2 linked regions of the Danio rerio genome follow. The protein of the gene in region 1 interacts with the protein of each later gene in a pairwise test. Links are inferred from orthologs where the notes say so. Each region holds a gene or a part of one and is shown on either strand. Other genes may lie near its edges. The genes, in order: shc1 and shcbp1.

Region 1 (3,834 bases):
CAAATGGTTTGCTTTAGTGATAAACGCGCACCTTTCATTGTCCTGATTTCTTTCACTGGCATTAACATGTTTGATCATTTTTGTCTTTCTGGTATGAAAATGGTGGTTAATCTGCAATTCTCAAAGGCTTGATTGTGTTTATTTGTTTTAAAAATATCGAATTGATTTTTACACATTTAACCTCTTTGTGGTTCTATTAAAATGTCATCCTCAACGTCTTATGATTGCTTTGCTGGTCCAGTGTGTTCTTATTTGTTGGCCTCCTTTTGCACATTGAAGGAAACGTTTCGCCAGTAACTAACTAACTAACAAACTAGCTAGCTAGCTAATTAACCTAAACTAAAGTGTTACTAAAAAGAAATCACAATCAATGACCTTGTTAAAGGGATTGTTCAACCAAAATTGTACATTCATTCATTAATTTTCTTTTCAGCTTAGTCCCTTTATTATTCTGGGGTCGCCACAGCAGAATGAACAGCCAACTTATCCAGCACATGTTTTAGGCAGCTAATGTTCTTTCAGCTGCAACCCATCTCTGGGAAACATCCATACATACTCATACTCTATGGACAATTTAGCCTATCCAATTCACCTGTACCGCATGTCTTTGGACTGTGGGGGAACATGCAAACTCCACACAGAAACGTCAACTGACCCAGCCGAGGCTCGAACCAGCGACTTTCTTGCTGTGAGGTGACAGCACTACCTACTGCGCCACTGCTTTACTCTTTTTGGTAGGGAAATGTCCTTAAGCTGGGATTCGAACTCGGGACGACCTGACATGCTACAGCACCATATGTCGACACACTAACCACTAGGCTATTCTGCCGTCCTAAAATTGTACATTTTAATAAAATACACAGAGAAAAAAATATTGTTGCAAACTATTTATATGGGTTGAATTTAAACAAACAAATTGAATGTAGTAATGTTTAATTTGATTATTTTATTTGTTTGTTAAAATTCAGACCAAATGAATTGTTTGCAACCACTTACCTTAAAAAAAATTGTATAAGTAAAGTCAATGAATATTTTATTCAGTGTATTACCTCACCCTCAAGTCGTTTCAGGCATTTATTTGAGTACAAAAGAAGATATTTTGAAAAATATTAATAACTTGTAACTATTGACTTCCATAGTAGAAAAAGCAAATACTATGGAAATCAATGGTAGCAGGTTTTCAACATTTTTCAAAATATATTTCTTTTGTGTTCAACAGAAGAAAGAAAGAGGTTTGGGACATGTGAATAATGAGTAAAGGATGACATAATTTTGTCTTGGTTGAACTATCCCTTTAAGACCCAGAGGATAGAACATACATACATTCAACAGTTTATAAATGTAATCTTGTTGTATTACTGTCTTAATACATTAAACATTATCAAAATAATAGATTTAGGAAATTAAATTTAGCATATTACAGCCATATATTCAAGGTGTACCGAGTTTAATTAAATCAAATATTAGTAAAAATATGTTCATTTGTTGTTTGAACATACTGAAATCAGTGTTGATGGCTCTTAAAAGTCTAAAAATGCCCCAAATTATTCCCAAACTAGAAACTAAAACTCAACTTACTTAAACTTTGGCTTCCAAAGAGAGACTTCAGGGTACAAGAAGCATGATTCAGTGTATAAAAATGAATTAAATTGCTTTGTTCATTCATGAAACACCCACACTGAATAAATATGTCACCATCCCACTGCACTGTATCTCCACAGCCCTATGGACAGCCGAGCCAGAACGACATTCACAAGCAGCCTCTTCCTCCACTACCAGGTCAGATTTACACACAACAATAATCCCTGTCCTAGTCATTTCATGCTGCCACACAGTATTTGTCTGTCATATAGTCACACTTCTCCTGCTTTAATTCCCCTGTCGGCCGAGACTGTCATTGTGCAGAGTGAGTCAGCGCTTTTTCTGCTACTGTTCGTTGCTCTTTGTTGGACGCTGCCCAAATCTATTACACAGCTCCTTTGAGAGGTGCCTTCTGGATCAGCGGCATTGCTGACAATAGAACGGCACCGCTTAAGTGCACTCACCTGAAGGTTAACTCACTTTAACTTCACCTTTGTTTTTCTTTTGTGTTCTTTTTTTCTTTAGTGGGTGTTAAGGATGGAGGCTTGTTTGACGACCCCTCATACGTTAATGTGGATAAACCCCGCCTCCCAGCATCAGCAGCAGCCAATGGAAATGCTCATAGAGACGCGTTTGACATGAGTGAGTGATGGATGCTTGGTGACTTTTTGTAATATTTTAATGATTTATTTATTGTGCAGGGTTCCCGATCAGGTCAGTGGTTCAGATTTTTACTTGCCCTGCCAAAATTTTCACTGGCTCCACCAAAAAAAAAAAAGTTATTGGCTATTTCTTAGCCACATATTTTAAATAATGTGTTAAAAGCCAAACATAATTGTATACATACATTTTTTATTCAGCAGGACATATATATGTCTATATAGGATATATATATATATATATATATATATATATATATATATATATATATATATATATATATAAAAACGAGAAGTGCCATGAGATTTTTAATGACCTCAGAGAGTGAGGACTTCAGTTTAACGTCTCATCCCAAAGACAGCGCTCACTTCACTGTGTTCACACCAGACGAGGAAAGCGTGGATATATTGTGCTATTCGCGTGTAAATAGACGCATGAACATTTGAGTTTACTTGCTGTTTTCGTGCGTCAAAATCGCTTCTTTCACGCATCAAACCCTGCTTAATTCGCGCATCAAATCCGATTCATTAGCGCGTCAAATCTGATTCATCCGCTTGAAAATCACTTCAGAACAGACGCTAATTCACGTGGTGGGCAGGGCTTCTGTCTGCCCGGTGACTGTAGCTTCATTGCTAAATGTCTAACATAGATTTTATTGAGAAAATAACAGTGTTTATGTGCTTTATGAAGGCTGAAAAACAGCGTTGATACGTTTGGAGCAGTTCACTAGATCCTTTCAGAGGTGCACCCAGCTCTGTGAGCTCATAAACTCCTCTAGAAACTTAAACTAGATGATGGAAGCATTTAGCGGTGCTTCTGACTGAGCCAAGCCCAGTTGATGAACTGTTGTTGGTGTAGACAGGGAATTTTCCCCCGGGACACCAACAACAGGCGCTACGTCATAATCACGTCCACACAAGAGCAAGCTCCTGATTGGTAAACGCGGCACGAATGTCCGCTGAAGTTTAGATTTTTGAACTTGAATGATTCATGCGAAAAGCGAGTCAAACGCGCAAAACATTCAATTTGCGCCGTGCCATTCACATGTATTGAGTCATTTGCTTCGCACCATGCCATTCATGCATATCACGGTGCAGGATGTCTATTCACGCCTTTGCCTTGACTTAACATGTAAATCATTCCCACTTGATGCTTCTTCCATGTCTGGTGTGAACACAGCATAAAAGTATAGTGTCCCCTTAACTTCACAGGGGCATTAGGGTTGAGTGCCCCCTGCTGCTAGTAACAGTATTAATTTGTTGAAGCCATGTTATACTAAAAAAAACAAGCAGACAAAAACTTGTGAAACAAATTTGACAAATTCTTTGTAACAATGAAAAAATCTTCATTGTCTGTTTTGTTTGTTTTTTATCGTATTGACCCCACATTTTTGTACAGGTTTCTATCATTTTACAAAACCAAACATTCAATAAAAACCATAAAGCATAATTTAATGAATAAAGTATGGACCTAATAAATTTTACGCTTGATGATAGCTTATTTACAATTGAATGTGGTAAAGCAGGGTAGTATGCTGTGTTTTTTCCTATTTTGAAAACAATACTTTGGTTTACTATACTTAGTAAATTAGTT
Region 2 (3,834 bases), on another chromosome or scaffold:
AATGATTATTAAATGATCTTTTGTAGGTGCATCAGAATAATTCTGACATGTAGCTGCTATTGATAGACTGTCTAAAGTGGACAATCAAAATGAAATAATGCCACTTCTTTTTCTTGTACTGTAGGAAATTGAAGTCTTTATCTAGTATCACAGTGTAGGTATTGTTTGTCTTTAATGTTTTGTTTGCTGGGAACAGCAGGGTTTACTTTTAGTGCAAAAACCCCTCATTTATGGGAGAGTCCTACATGTTTCAACACATCCTTTTATTGTACCCTATCATTTTCTGAATGACTACAACCATTCCTGTTGCTTCCTGCTGGAATGCTGAATGAGAGAGTGTTTTTGTCATGTGTCTATCTGTGTTGCCTACTTTCCATACATGAATTTAATGAATATTCTCAAAAATTAATATTGTGCAGGGCTGGGGAATATTGCAAAAAAATGTTCACAGTAGCATGTTTCATATAGTTCAATATCGATAATTATTTTAAATAATGATATAATTATCAGTATATTATTTATTTGAACTATACGTTTAGGAATATTATAATACATTTTTTTTAGCCTCTTTTTTTAATTTACCAACATTACTAAGTTAAATAGTTTTAATAGTCAAAAACAAAAATATTTAAACAAAATATCTCATCTCTTCATAATAAAATAAACATCAGTGTTAAAGAGACTCTTAAACTTGATAGATAAAATGTTTATGCACTATGCTAAAAAATCTTTCATATGGGGTGTTCGTGGCTAGGATGCACAAGAAAAGAAACCAAAAAGCCACTCTGGCAACATCTTTACATCCTTTTTTTTTTTTTTTTTTTTTTTTTTACAATCTCCTCACTGCTGCTTTACGGTACTCAATTTCTCATTTGTTGTTGAAGTGACAAGCGCGTACGCGTGAATATCTTGAACATTTACAATAGACTAGGCGCTCACAATCCCCTGGCATCTCTCGTTACTAGATGACCATCAATTATTTTTTTAGAGGATGACAAACGGACAAACCATTGCTGCAGCTCCGACACAAGTTTATGTAGAAAAAAAAAAAAACTGTTGCAATGTTTGGATGCACTGTGTTTGTCTGAGGTGATTAGTCTGCCGTTATTCCTGAAATGCGTATATTCCATACAAAGCGTGAAGGACATTGGCAAGTTCTACTTTCATTAATTGCGGTGCGCTCAGGGCATTCTACAGCTGGAAAATGAACGTGGTTCACGTGTGTACCAGTTGCACAACACATGCGCATCGCCCACATATGAGCATCGTGCGAGTTGCATGCCTCCATTGGGAATGAGAAACTGAAACCCTAAGCTTATTAGCACTGCTTCCAAGGTGTGCTCCTGTTAAAATACTCTGTGTGGTTGGTTTCGTCTGATCAGTGCTCAATAGAACAGCTCTCTGTATTTCTGTTCATCATAGGTCATGGAAATTCAGCTTTTTAATCAGGGAAAAGGCAAAGAATTTGACATTTGGCTTTAGCCTCATTTACTCTACCAGCAGCTCGCAGTTACAAAGCAACAAGTGACTATTCATTTCAATGGAGAGCTGGTGACTTCTGACGATCTCCAACTACATGAGTGATAGCGACTGGGTGTAGGTGTGTTTAGCGACAAGACGTTAAACTTTATGCAAATGAAGAGCATTTTTGAGGATAGCTCAAGTGATCCATTTTCTTACTAGCTGTTTGTATTCTCTGCACTGTACTCTAATGCAGATAAATAGCTGCAATGACAGAGCACAAGAAATTAAAATTATAGTTAGTCTTACAAAACTCATGCGCCGTCTCATTCATAAATGTTATATAAGCAATCTCAAGGAGGGAATGCCCATTAGCGACTTCTATCACCACCCAGGCCGAAACATCGCTACAAAGTTGCTGGCTGTGTGAATGATGCTTTAACCTGAGGGAGAATAAAGGCCAGAAACAAGGTTTCCACTCTATTCTCCAAACTCGTACATTATCACAAAGGTTTTAAAAGAGATTACAGGGAAAGTTTACCCATCATTTACTCACCATCCACTTGTTCAAAAACTTATTTGATTTTTTTTTTCATTTTGATGTTTTCATTTGAAGACATTTTAAGACATCAGCTTTAACTATTGATATCCGCAATATTTTATCCCTACTATGGGTACCGTAGTGGGGGACTACCAGTTTTAAGCTTTTTTTTTTTTTAATTAAACAGATAAATGATACAAGTTTTGGGAGCAATTAAAGAGTAAGTTCATCCAAAAATGAAAATATACTCCTTATTTACTCTCCCTATTTAGGTTTTAGGTTTCAAACCTTCATGAGGCTCTTCTGATCAAATCAAAAGTATGTATTAAGTAATATTTTGAAGAAAGCTGAGAACCTGTAGCTATTTTTAAAATTGCATCTTTTATAGTTTATAGTTTCTTTTTGAGGTTTAATTTTTTAGATAAAACAACAACAACACAAAACAAATAATTTCAAAACCATATCTGTTCTTAACGCTGTTGTTTCTTTTGTGTTTTATCAGATGAGAAAGAGGAAGTATATGAAGACATGGGAGTAAAACCAGATGCAGATATGAACGACGATGATGATGTTGGGGTTAATGTTCCCATCATTGTGGTAGAGGAAGAATGCCCATCCATCAAATATAGCTGCACAATTCCTCCAGACTGTGAAGGAAATGATGCCATCAAACAAGAGTTAGTTGCCACCTCGGCCAGAAAACTTGGACGTCAGAAGAGCCGGATGAAAGCATTAGGTGACATGCAGGCTGATGAGAATCTACTCTCACAGGAAATGTTCATTTCCATTCATGGAAATCAATTTAAGCACAATGGAAAGGGAAGCTTTGGTACCTTCCATTACTGAAGCATCTCAATGCAGGCCTGCACACACACTTTACCCTTTAATTATTTATTGTGTAATTCCCCAATTTTGCTTCGTTTACTTTGAGCTAGTATTAACTACTGTGTGAATGTAATGAAAGATGAATTAAACGCGCTAACATTTCTAGCCTTTTAAACATTCTATTTTTAATATTTGTCTTTTTTAAAACTATTTTGAACACTAAAATACAAGGACACATAATTACACCAAAAGAGTGTTTACATTTTCTGTTCACACCATGTTCTACTTCAGAACAAGCATGTTCATAGACACAAATAGTTTGTTTGTTTTTCTTCAGGGTTCATACAGTTTATGCTTTGTCCACACATTAATTTAATGGTTCATACAGTCACTAATAAGCACACAAATATTTCTGGTCCCTACAAAGTCCTTTGGACCTTTCCCCCTTGATTGTCTTTATTTATTTTTTATTTTTTGAAGTAATAAAGATGCTTTATTGTTCTAAATGGCAGTGTAATGTAGTTTTGTTAAAGAAGCATGGCAGATTAAGAGAGTTACTGCTTGTGCGGTGCGTTGGGGTTCCTTTTGTCACACAAATTTGACTTTTCATTAATTAAAAAATAATAATTTTGCTTAATTCCCAGAAAATTAAAGATAAACAACATTACAATGAAGACATTTGTTTAATTCCATAATCCTGCATGTTGTTCTGTAAATTAAAGAAAAAGAAGAGCTCTAACTTTTCCTTTAATGAGCTGCAACTTGACCTGTGTTTGCCAAACAACTGCTGTGAGACTAATGTCATGAGAGGACAGGGAGAGAACTACTAAAGCATAATTTATTTTTAAGAACATTAATATAAAATATAACAATGCAAATTAATTGCAGGAAATTAGATGGGGAACAATTAAAGAATGTTAATTATTTGTCAAATTATCCATTCTCTTGTATCATGTCAGTTTCAGCATTGTTATTGTCCAGTGGTCACATTAAACTGCTGTCCAAAA

The links.
Region 2: the proteins of shc1 (region 1) and shcbp1 interact in a two-hybrid assay, tested with the Homo sapiens proteins (2 studies listed by BioGRID, with this or other methods). The link is inferred for Danio rerio from reciprocal best matches to the Homo sapiens genes SHC1 and SHCBP1.

The regions. Positions count from the first base shown.
Region 1 is NC_133191.1:24,101,756-24,105,589, reverse strand, and holds part of shc1 (SHC-transforming protein 1), read left to right. Parts: intron 1-1,721; coding exon 1,722-1,779; intron 1,780-2,106; coding exon 2,107-2,223; intron 2,224-3,834. UniProt on the Homo sapiens protein: Signaling adapter that couples activated growth factor receptors to signaling pathways. Participates in a signaling cascade initiated by activated KIT and KITLG/SCF.
Region 2 is NC_133182.1:46,407,140-46,410,973, reverse strand, and holds the end of shcbp1 (SHC SH2 domain-binding protein 1), read left to right. Parts: intron 1-2,504; coding exon 2,505-2,848; 3' UTR 2,849-3,333; downstream 3,334-3,834. UniProt on the Homo sapiens protein: May play a role in signaling pathways governing cellular proliferation, cell growth and differentiation. May be a component of a novel signaling pathway downstream of Shc. Acts as a positive regulator of FGF signaling in neural progenitor cells.